Linked DNA regions of Canis lupus familiaris. The protein of the gene in region 2 purifies or fractionates together with the protein of the main gene of each other region. This does not show direct contact. Links are inferred from orthologs where the notes say so. Each region holds a gene or a part of one and is shown on either strand. Other genes may lie near its edges. The genes, in order: TLE2, CCT6A and PDCL3.

Region 1 (4,083 bases), on a different chromosome or scaffold from region 2:
CAGGTGGGTGACCGTATGGAGGTGCTGGGAGGGTGGCGCACCCGGGCAGGGCATGGAAGCTCTGCGCCCCCGCCCCATGCCTCGCCCCGCGCCTCTCTTCCATCTGGCTGTTCCTGAATCCGATCCTATAGGATAAGCGGGTAATCTAACAAGCCAACTGTTTCCCTGAGTTCTGGGGACTGTTTGGGCAAATTATTGAACCTGAGGTGGGGATTACGGGAACCCTCAACTTATATATAGCTGAACGGTCAGACGCTTGGGCCAGAGACCCAGACTTTTGCTTGGCATCTGCAACAGGGGCAGCCTGGTGGGGCCGAGCCCCGCACCTGTGAGGTCTGAGCTAATTCCAGGCAGAGTGTCAGAATCAAGCTGAATCTCAGGACATCTGCTGGTGTCGTAGCTGGAGAATCGGCTGGTATGTGGGGAAACCCACACGTTTGGGCGCAGAAGTACAGGGAGTGGAGGGGAGGCTGTGGTTTTACAAGCAGGTGTCTTCGGGGACAGGATCTGAGCCAGGGGAGCCCTGAGAGGCTGAACAGAGGGAAAGCTGCATGGGGGCAGGGGGAGAGGGGCAGGTATGGCATATCCAGGTGTGTGCAGGGTCAGGCTATGCTTCGCCTCTGCCGGGGTTAGAGGGGTGCTGTGTGCCTCGTGCATCTGGGCAGGGCTTGAGTTCCCACTGGGAGGGTGGGGGCCGGGCCCTAGCACCTGCCTGCCCCCTCCCACCCCCTAAGATGGTCTATTTCATGAACCCCCAGGACCACGCCCTACTCCAGCCAGGTCAGCCCCCGCCCGCCGCGGCCCACACCAGAGCCAGCAGAGCCCACGCATACCCAGAAAAGCACACCAGGGCGGGCACCCTGAGGCAGCCCACACTCTTAGCCCACTCCCCCTCCTCTTCCCACCCACCCGGAAGGAGTGTTGTTTTAGGCTCCACCCCCCCCACCCCTACCCTGTTCTGATAGTCTCAGGGACAGAACCTAAGACCCCATCAACCTCACAATCTTTTGGGGTCCCTCATCTATCAGAGAACCTTGAGGTCAGTGTCAGGTCCTTGGGGTTAATTTTTTTTTCTTTTTTTAAGTAGGCTTGGTACCCAGCGTGGAACCCAACACAGATGGGGCTTGCACTCACGCCTCTGAGATCAAGACCTGAGCTGAGATCAAGAGTCGGATGCTTAACCGACTGAGCCACCTGGGCACCCCGTCTCGGGGTTAATCTTGAACAACTGGAGTCAATTTGAGACCCTTCTGGTCTGAGAACCTTGCATCACACTCAGAAGCTGATGAGAGTCTCGGACCCTCAGGGCACTAGGGCCAATCTTACATCCTTTAAAGCATCAACAGCAGCTTGGGGTCCAGCTCAGATCATCAGGATCCATCCTCCAAACATGAGACTCTCTGGCCTGAAAGGGACCTCCCTGGGCCAGAAGTCACCTCCACTGCCTGCCCGACCTGGCTGCAGCCTCTGCCACAAGCCCTCCTTGACAGGGACACCTGGCTCCTGCCCACTTCTCGCCTCTCTGCTGGACCCTGTCTCCAGAAGTTCAGAACTGTTTTCCTTCTGTGAGGCTGAAATCTGGCCCCCTGGTCCCAGAGATTTCAGGATAAGACCCGGACTGCCTGAGCGCTGGGTCTCTCTCACAGCTTCCAGACCCTCACCCTTCCTCCTGAACACCCCGAGCCCCAACAGTTACCTGTTTATGCATTTCGATGTTGAGCCCGTAGGACATCTCATAATACTGCAAAGGAAGAGCCAGTTGGGAATGTCTACTGTGCCAGTTGGTGCCCAGCCTTGAGCTGGGTGATGCTGGGGCTTCCGGGGAGCCCCCAGGCTGGGGGAATCACAGCAGGGCACAGAGCCTCCCCCCAAGCCCAGAGGGGAAGACCAGAGGAGCAAGCAGGGAGGGTGGCAGGAGGAGGTGCCCAGAGACCCCGGCCCCTCAGAGATGCCCATCAGGAGAGGGGACATCCTTGCCTCATTATTTGTAGGATGGCCAGGAATCCCAACCAGCCCCCTTTACAAGACGGAAAATGAGGCCCGGAGGGGCAGGGTGAGCGGGGAGTCAAACCCCCAGCGCTTTCAGTCACAGCGGAGCCCCCTCCCCACTGCCCGCAGCTCCTGGCACCCGAAGCCCCTCACCATGACATAATGTCGTTGCATTTCTGTCTTCTCACTGGCCAGCTTCTCACACTCCAGCTTGAGGCTGGGAAGGAGAGGAGCATGGGGATCCCACTCTGCGCCCTGCCTCTACTCCCACCGCGCCCCACCCGGCACAGGACGCAGAGATACCCGGTCTGGGCCAGTTTCCAAAGTGATGGCTTTGGCTCCGTCCCCTGTCCCCACTTCCTGCTCGCCGCCCCACCTCCGTCCAGTCCCTTCCCGCCCCTTCTCAGGCTCCAAGCGCCCCAGTGCTGAGCGTCCCCGGCCACCTCACCTGCGCTTCCACCTGGAAGCCCTCCCTCGGCCCTGCAGGGGGGGCTCCCTCCTCCCGGCACCCTGGAGGCCCCGCCCCCGCCTGGCTGCGCCCGGGGGCCCCCAGCGGGCCCGTCCCCCCCCCCCGGGGGGCTCCCAGGTGAGCTCCCAGGTGAGCTCCCAGGTGAGCTCCCGGCTCCCCCGGGGCGCGGCGCCCCCGCCCCCCTCACCTGTGGTACTGAGCCTGAAGAAACTGGAATTCCTCTTTGATGCGGTCGCAGATCTCCAAGATCGAGAACTTGAAGGGCTGGCCGGACTGGAGCGGGGTCTGCGGGCGGGGGCGCGGCGGGGTCTGAGCTCCGGGCGCCCGCGCCCCCCGCCCCCGCGCGGCCCGGGCCCCCACTCACCGGGTGCCTCCCCTGGGGGTACATCCTGGCGATGCGGAGGCCCCCGCGCCGCCGGAGCCCGACGATCCCGGGGGGGCGGCGGCGGGGCCGGGGGCGCCCGGAGGCAGCAGGAGGGGCGCGGCGGCGCGGGGCCGGGACCCGGAGCGCCCGCGCCCCCCCGAGCGCGCGGGGCGGGGGCGGGGCGGGGGCGCGGGCGCGGGGCGGGCGCGAAGGTCGCGCGAGCCGCGGCCCGGTGTCGGCGGAGGCGCGGGCGGCGGGCCCCGCGCGGAGCCGCCTCCCTCCGGCGGGGCTCGGCCGGGAGCCGCGGGCAGAGCCGCCTTAAGGTGGCGCCGCCGCCCCCCGGCCCGCCCACCCGCCCGCCCGCCGCGCCCCCCGCGCCTCGGGCCCGCGCCCCGGGACCCCGCCCCCGCCCCGCCCCCGGCCGGGCCCCGTGGGGAAACTGAGGCCCGCGCCCAGTGCCCCGCCGACGCCGCCCGCTCCCTCCCCGGAGGAGAGACGTGCAGGGAAGCCAGACACACCTCGGCGGGGGGCGGGGGGGTGCTGTGGGGGGCAGCGTGCTGGGGAGGGGGCGGTTGGGGTGAAGGGGCCCTCCCGAGGGAGAGGGCTGAGACAGGTTCTGGAGGAGGCCGGCAACCTGCACCGAGGAGGGCAGACCCCGCTCGCCCCCTCCGGCCTCAGTATTCGCATCTGTAAAACGGCAGAGCCTGGAGCTGTCCTTTAAGGAGATGGGGCCTGAACAGCCCCCAGCCTGGCCCTGCACGAGCAAACTCCCGCAGCTGGGACTCGGACTCCCCTTGCCACCAGCAGCAGACTGCGAGCTCCTAGAGGGCAGAGCAGGCCCTGAGAAGGGCAGCCGAATCCCTGCCACCAGACCGGGGTCGCTGGGGGCAGGCGCTCCACTGGGGGCACAGACCGCAGCCAGCCTGGGAGCATCCCCCACACTCACCTGGGACATCGCACCTCCTTGCTCCCATCTTGGTAGGAAAAACCTCAAAGTTTGTTAAGTCGGTCAACAAGCATGCCTGGAGCACCTCCTGCGGACCAGACACAGCTCTAGGCACCGAGGCGCAGCGGACACAAAATAGAGAGAAACCCCTGCCTCGCGGTGATGCCTGCCCCTGTGTTGGAGGCGGGGGAGCCAAAGTAGACGAAGCCCTCCCGAGCTGAGCAGCACCGCCTTCCAGCCAACAGATAATTTATTGAGCATCTATCAGGGGCCAGGTATCCTTCCAGGTGCCAGGAATACGAGGGTGACCGAAGG
Region 2 (3,642 bases):
CTTTCTTAAACTTACCAAGAGTGAAGAAGCTGTTTCTTTACACAATAGTTATCCCATATGCCTACTTCGGCGGCTACCATTGGCTCACCTGAAAAGTAACCCAGTATTCTTAAAATCTCAGAGAAGAGAGAGAGAGAGAAGCACAGGCACAGGCAGAGGGAGAAGCAGGCTCTCTGCAGGGAGTCTGATGTGGGACTCAATCCCGGGTCTCCAGGATCACGCCCTGGGCCAAAGGCAGTGCTAAACCCCTGAGCCACCGGGGCTGCCCTCACACAGCAAATTATAAAGATCAAAATGCTAAGACAACAGAGTATTTTATGATTTGTTCATCATTGATTATTCTATGAACCAAAGTTCCTCAGTCCAATTTTGCTCCAAACCATGACTCTTGTGTCCAGTGTCTTTAAGTGGCTGATCCCTACTCAGAAAACTTCCAGTAATAGTAATACTCCATTTGGTTACCAAATGTTTGAACATCCCTATTTTTCAAGACACATTCATTCTGTTTGTCCATATTAGAGCACTTGAACTATAATCTGGCCAAAATGGGTTTATCATTTCCTTCATCCCAGAAACCTTTTCTATTAACTTGGATGGAAATGCTATTGACAACAAAGGTCTTATGTATGCTGCAGGGGTGTGTATCTCAGTTATCTTTCTTCCACTTTGTACTTAAATATTTTGTGTTACTGCATTTAAGACTAGGGCTTTAAATCATTTAAGATTTGGTCCTGTCTTCTAGCATTATTTGCTATACTCAGCCTTTTTTCACCCATGAATACGATCATCTATTTTCTTATTAAAGTCCCTGATGGAAAACTAAGTAAAAGCCAGCCCAACACGAAATCTTTCTGTATTAACCTGAGCCACCTACTACTACTCAGCAAAATCAACAAATCTATACTCTTTTAAAATTATACAAACGTCCACTCTATTCCCTTTGTTTACTGAATCTAGTCATCCCATTTTTATATCGTATTTCAGAAATCAGGGTTCCCTAGTAACACTGGTGTCAAACTGTAAAGCACCTCTCCAAGATTCATTTGTCTCCATTTTTTTTAAAAAGAATTATTTATTTATTTATTCATAGAGACACAGAGAGAGAGAGAGGCAGAGACACAGGCAGAGGGAGAAGCAGGCTCCCTGCAGGGAACCCAATGCGGGACTTGATCCTGGGTCTCCAGGATCACACCCTGGGCCGCAGGCGGCACTAAACCGCTGCGCCACCGGGGCTGCCCATTTGTTCCTTTTTTGATCCTTCCTGGTTTTATCTCACCGGACTCTAGTTCCCCTACAAATAGCTGCATTCTCTTACCTGTGTTCAAGTCCACACCCACAAGTTGACCTGATTCTGAATGTTCTGCTTGAACTTTAACTAGTGTTTCCTGAAGGTCAAAACCAGAGTTCTGAGCAAGAACCTAAAGCAAAAAAATTTAATCTTTTAAAGGACAGAACCTAAGAAGTGTCAATCTGTAATAAACCATAATTCTAAATAAGAAAAAACAAAAAAACCCATCAAAAAACCTCAATGAAGACAGACCAGTTATTCTCTAAAGTGAACATTAGAGAATAACTAGACATTTGTTACTAACTCATTACTCCACCCCAAGCCCAGCAACACACTGGTCATAAAACTATGCCAAGTGAGCACACAACAGAATAAAAACAAAACGTAAGCTTGTACTCAAGTATAACCCCTATACTGCAAATCCTCTTAAAACAGTTTACCTCCTGCCTCTGAAACTTCAGATATTCAACTCCCTTCCAGAAGAACCAAATACATTTGGATAAGAGATAGCGGTTTTTTTTTTTTTTTTAAAGATTTTATTTATTTATTCATGAGAGACAGAAAGAGAGAGAGAGAGAGAGAGGCAGACACACAGGCAGAGGGAGAAGCAGGATCCATGCAGGGAACCTGATGTGGGACTCGATCCCAGGTCTCCAGAATCATGCTCGCGGCTGAAGGCAGCGCTAAACCAATGAGCCACCCTGGGCTGCCCAAGAGATAGCTTCTTTAGCTATATTCGGGAGAAAGCTGGTAAAACTTGTTTAACTCCAACTCTACATTATGAGAAAGACTCCACGTTAATAAAAAACTTTCATCAGCTAACTCATTTTGATGTAGTTAAGAAAACTGTTAAAGTAGTCATACCTTGGGAATAATGAGCAATGCATCAGCAAATGCTTGAACTCCCAGCTGGGCCCTCCCCTTTACACTGGGCTTATATTTAATCAAGGCTTCTGCCATTGCCACTTCCACTGCACCCGCACCCGGAACTACACAGCCTGTTGGGGGTGGGAAGGAAGGAGAGAAATGATCAACTACGAAGAAAATAAAACTGTGGAATCATTAAGAAAATACATAAAACACAAACATAAAAAGCATTAATTTCTTGAGAATGTGGAATAGCCACAATATTGCATTTGAAAACACTATAAGCAACACATTATATTTCTAAAATATTATATATTAGAAATATAGATTTCTCTGGAAGAAAAACATTAAATAGCAAAATGCTTCAATTTAACTAGTACTTGGAAGGTTACTATTAGTTCATTTTCTTCTATCACTTTTTTTAAAAAAGATTTTATTTATTTATGAGACAGAGAGAGAGAGAGAGACAAGAGACCTAGGTAGAGGGAGAAGCAGGTTCCCCTTAGGGAGCCCAATGTGGGATTTGATCCCTGAACTCCAGGATTGCGCCCTGAGCCAAAGGCAGACAGTTAACCACTGAGTCACCCAGGTTACCTACTTGTATTCACTTTTAAAAATGATATGCTATGAAAAAGCTTAGCACACCATTAGAGGCATTTTAAAGGGAACACTTTACTTTTGCATGGTGTCTGGCTGTGTAAACTACTGATAAAAAGAACACAGTATTCAGCCATGCTTTTTTTATACTTGTAAAAGAATATAAACACAGTAAGCATCTTACCATCATCAATAGCATTTTTAACAGCCCTCAAGCCATCTCTTATTGCATCTTTGATTTGAGTGAGTGTGTGCTTATTTGGTCCTTTGATCAATAATGTGACAGAGCGAGGATTGTTACACTTCTCAATGAAAGTGAATTTCTCTTCTCCCTATGTGAAAAAGAGGTATTTTCAAAATAGGGTATGTTTGTACCAAGACTGGGAACGACTAGAGGAGCTTATAAAAGAGTAAGTAACATATTAAAAAGGGAACAACATACCCATCACATTAAAGCAAATTACTTCATAAAAAAAGGTCACATATAAAAGCAATGTGATTTTCCCCATCAATGCCTTATCATTACTACACATAACCTTCAAAATGTATGTAAACAAAGCAAGAATATGATCCTAGGTTTGAATGAATTTTTTTTTACTACCGAAGAATTCAAGAACCAAAGAACATTATCATATTATCTTCAGAAAAGAAATACACTTACCAACGTATACTCATAGACAAGTCCTGCATGTCCCAAACAATCAGGATTTAGGTCATCGAAAGAATTTAGAGCTACTCCACCACAAGCAAGAGTCAGCCTGAAATATTGAAGTATTTTAAAGGAGACATATTAAGTAGCTTTGTTATGTTTAAAGAGATTAATAATTTTTAGGAAGCAATCTTTCAGAATTACACACTAAAATTAAATATGCCAAAATGTTATTTTAACT
Region 3 (4,156 bases), on a different chromosome or scaffold from region 2:
CCATATTTACTTATGTCTTGTTTATTGTCTGTCTCTCTCACTAGAATGTAAGCCCCATAAGAACAGGGATGTTTTGTCTGGTCTGTATACAGCAAGAGCCCCAGTGCTTAGAATAACACCTGGTAGACAGTCATTATTCAATAAACATTCACTGGATAAATGCTTTCTAGTGAATTCATCTCTAAATTAGCTCTAACATGGAAGAAGACAAAAGTATTGGCCCCTGTGATCAATGGGGCATTAAGTCAAGACTCAGAAATATTTTCTTCAGGATTATCAGGTGCTCATCTGATACAGACAAGAAGCTGTGGAAATGTGGAAATTCTACAGCTCAGGAAGTTGAAGGTTAGAGGACAGCCTGTGACACACTTAAGGTCCCAGAAATAGTGTCTATCCCAGCACTCCAATCCCTGGTTCCCAATTCCTGCTCAGAACATCCTTCTACCAAAGCAGTTAGAGGCTTAAAAAGTTGTTTCTTAATCCACAGACAGAACAAATAAAGAATATAAGCAATCTCACCAACTGACTGCTGAAGGACTCGCTGTTCTTCTTCTTCTGCCTCCTTTTCCAAATCTTTCAAACTTTCCTTTGAGGGCAAGATGCCCTTTTTGCGTAAGATGTCATTCCACTCAGTGTCTGCATTAGGGTCCTGGGGGAAGTGGACCAAAAATACTATGAGTGCAAAGTACACTACAAAGGGTGCCATGTTGGGGAAAGGGTTGAATGGGAAAGGTGGCGGGAAGAGGAATTCAAACCAAATTATTCTGTGGCCTATTTCTGAGAAAGTGTCAAAAGATCCACCAGCCCTGTTCTTTTCCTGTTCATTCAATTTCACCCTCACCATGCAAGACACACACCCAGTAAATAGCCTTTGGTAAAAATCAGGATATGATGTGCAAATCAGTATCAATTCTCACACCAGGACTCTAACCTGGCTTCTATTTGATATTTTTATTAATGCTTCAGAGTGATTCATTCAACATATACTAAATGCTTGTGGCAAGTGTAATGATCAACAAGCTGTCGATCTAGAGAGTTGTAAGAGGTCTGCATTCCACAGAATGGGTAGGGATATTGTCTCAGAAGTAGATATTTAACCATCACTGAAAAGTGAGAAGGAAGCAGACGTGAGGAATGATAACTTAAGAAATTACTTTCCAGGCAGAGGAACCAGCATGTGCAAAGGGCCCAAGAATGGAGATAGGAGTATCGTAAAGTTCTAAGTGGCTCCAGTAGAGTCAGGAGGAGGAGAGCCTGATCCTAGGCTGACAAATTCTCAAACAGCTCAACCTGAGAGGAAGAACGGAGACCCCTTGGAATAGCTCACAATGGCTAACGCCTACTGAGTACCAGGTGCTGGGCACTCTCTGAAGCCCTTTACCTGGACCTACTTAGTAAATCCTCACAAGCCTAGGAAAAGATGTGACATTTAGGAAGACACTGTCATACTGGGACGAGTCAAATTTACCAGGATCAAATGTCAGAAGGATACATGTCAAAGTGGGCTCTAGCTCCCCAAACTAGCGAGTCAAACACTGGTTTTGCCTGGCTTGGCTAGAACACTGCTAATGGACCTGGTCTGGCATAGGAACTCCAAGAGCACTGTGGAGAGAGCACTAAAACAGCCAGGCTGCAGCCCCAACTCCACGTCACTGTCTTGCTGAGATCTATCAAAAGAAAATGAACAGAATCCTTTCAACGGGGTGGTCAGGGAAGGCGCTCAAGAAATGACATTTCAACGCAGGGTTCTAAGGGACAGAGAACGCCAAGGAGGCCAGGGCAGCCCTGGAGCTCTCTCTTCCCCACTCCCGAGTGTCTGGCTTCTGGTAGACACACTCTATTTGTAGACGCTTATCCTGCCCAGCTCCCAAGCAAACCCACACTAACTCCATTTGTCATGTGCCACTTAGCCAGCGAGGATTTCATCAGAATCCCTAACTACAGTGAGGTCTAGGAAGCAGCAGGATGACCTCTGGCAAAGGGTCCTTCGACAAGGGGCAGCATTTAGTCCGAAACTTTTGCTAATTTCCATGATGTCTTCATTTTCTTTCGCTGTAAGTTTGTCCAATTCCATTAGAAAATTTCTGATACGAAAAAAAAAAAAAAAAAGAGGACAAAACTAGGGGGTTTGGTTTTATCTATTTTCAGACAGTAACTGAGAAGGACCTAGGGCTGAGCTGGGAACCGGGGAATCGGAGAGGGGAGCGCACCTCAACCTGCACACCAGCGCGAGGGAGGGAGAGGATGGGACAGATCCCTCACCCGGCTCCGGCTCCGGCTCCCGCTCCGGGTGGGGTCGGGGACACGGGCTGCGACACCGATTACGTCATGGGATCTCCAGGCGGGACCGTTCCCTCATCCGCCTCAGCTTCCACATCCACACAACGGGCCCCTGACACACTTGCTCAGGTGCGAAGAGAATTAACAAACAGGAAGTAACCCTGTCAGGTGGGATGGGCGAGCTGTTCACACACGCCACGGGACGGCCCCAAAAGCCTGAGATTTAGGGGCGAGGCCCACGGGGTGCGGGTAGCCAGCCCGCGGCGCCCGGCGGGACCACGCCCGCCCTCCCGCACTGCGCCTGCGCCTGCGCTCCGCCTAGGCTCGCGTGACCTTTCTTGCGCCGGTGGCGCCCGGCGCTCCCCACGGTCCCAGCCCAGACGGTCTGCCGCTGCCACGGACCCAGCGGGGCAGACGCGCTGCGGCCCCCCCAGGCCTCGGCCCCCCAGGTTCTTTACCTGCATGGTGCCCAAAGTTGGTCACGCCAGGCGGAAGCCGTGTCCCCGCCCCTCAGCTCTCTGCGCATGCGCCCAGCCGCCACCCCCCCCTTCCAGCCCGGCCTTGGCCCCGCCCCCTAGCAGAGAGCAGGGCGGAGCCAGGGAGTCAGCGAGACGTCTGCGCCTGCGCCCGCTGCTCTAGAAACCGGCGCGGAAGCTGTGCGCATGCGCATGGGGTCCTGTCAGTGCGGGGGGGCGGTCCGCTGGCGTCACGTGACCCGGAGCCCCTTCTCTTTGCTACCTTATTAGGGCAGGCCTCGGTCCTTGGAAAGGTGGGGCCAGATGGAGGAGGTGCTCGTTGCGAGGTGTCGTCTGCTGCCTCAGACCCTACCGTTGTAAGGAGGGCTCGGCTCCCGAAGTCAGAAGTAGAAAGGTGTTTCAGTGCGCCAGTGTTACAATTGAAAATGATGCAGGGTCGTCCGGAATTCACTCGCTTATCGTTTCAGCGTCAGATAAGGCAGTTAATTCAGACACATACTTACCAGGAGCCTATGTGCACCAGGCACTAGTCTAGGCTCTGCGGATACGGCGGTGATTACGACAGACAAAAAGGTGAAAGTCATTTCACCTGGTTAAGCCTCAGGCGGCCCATCTTTGCAAGTGTTCGGCCCTGCCCAGGCACACAGGAGGCACCGAGTAAACCAGAAGAATCTAAATTGTAAAAATGCAGGTGCTGGGCTCCAGGCTTCTGGCTACACAGCGCTCCGAATTTGAGTTAAGAAAGTAATCTCACTCCTGGGACAGCTGGGCTGACGTGCGGCCTCAGCAATGAAGCAAACACAGAAGATACACATCCGCACATCTGGGAGTGGGCTCACGACTCCCAACGTCGACCCCCTGGGAGCTTTCAAACACTGCAGTTATGCTGGGGCACCATCCCCAGTCAAAAGAGTTGACTGGAACTGGTATTTTCTTGAAGATCCTCAGGTCTTTGCTGCTAACATGCAAAACCAGGGATACAGAGTGAAAATAAAATGATTCCTTGAAGGCAAGGAGCTTTGGTTTTTATAATTTATAAGGATTCTTAATATTTACCTAACTCCTTACCGCAGAATTACAGGTCTCCTGAAATATTTGTTTATTTATTTATCTGCAGCAAACTGTGAATGCATTGTCCCTTGTCTTACTACCAAAATCAGGAACCAGACTAGTTTGGGGTGAGTTTGGCCCTATGCTAAGCTTTGCAACCTTCCACAGCAATAAAGTGGGTGCTGTTATAGCCTTTCTTCACTCCCAGCCCTATTTCCTCAGAACAGGACTCATCCCCACCTGGTGATTCCTCTCTCCAGAGATTGACAAGCCAAAGGCTCAAACTGCACAACCTCCTCTGTGGAAATGTGTGTCTCCCACTTTTGTCGAAGACTCTTACCTTGCTCTAA

Evidence for each region.
Region 1: the proteins of CCT6A (region 2) and TLE2 purify together in Homo sapiens (affinity purification with mass spectrometry; 3 studies listed by BioGRID and IntAct, with this or other methods). This does not show direct contact. The link is inferred for Canis lupus familiaris from reciprocal best matches to the Homo sapiens genes CCT6A and TLE2.
Region 3: the proteins of CCT6A (region 2) and PDCL3 purify together in Homo sapiens (affinity purification with mass spectrometry; 3 studies listed by BioGRID and IntAct, with this or other methods). This does not show direct contact. The link is inferred for Canis lupus familiaris from reciprocal best matches to the Homo sapiens genes CCT6A and PDCL3.

The regions. Positions count from the first base shown.
Region 1 is NC_049241.1:56,607,818-56,611,900, reverse strand, and holds the start of TLE2 (transducin-like enhancer protein 2), read right to left. Parts: upstream 2,936-4,083; 5' UTR 2,847-2,935; coding exon 2,823-2,846; intron 2,744-2,822; coding exon 2,646-2,743; intron 2,207-2,645; coding exon 2,143-2,206; intron 1,742-2,142; coding exon 1,697-1,741; intron 1-1,696.
Region 2 is NC_049227.1:465,327-468,968, reverse strand, and holds part of CCT6A (T-complex protein 1 subunit zeta), read right to left. Parts: intron 3,511-3,642; coding exon 3,414-3,510; intron 3,085-3,413; coding exon 2,937-3,084; intron 2,892-2,936; exon of another isoform or gene 2,752-2,891; intron 2,287-2,751; coding exon 2,153-2,286; intron 1,419-2,152; coding exon 1,316-1,418; intron 89-1,315; coding exon 16-88; intron 1-15. UniProt on the Homo sapiens protein: Component of the chaperonin-containing T-complex (TRiC), a molecular chaperone complex that assists the folding of actin, tubulin and other proteins upon ATP hydrolysis.
Region 3 is NC_049231.1:43,274,061-43,278,216, forward strand, and holds the start of PDCL3 (phosducin-like protein 3), read right to left. Parts: upstream 2,870-4,156; 5' UTR 2,745-2,869; coding exon 2,739-2,744; intron 650-2,738; coding exon 520-649; intron 1-519. UniProt on the Homo sapiens protein: Acts as a chaperone for the angiogenic VEGF receptor KDR/VEGFR2, increasing its abundance by inhibiting its ubiquitination and degradation.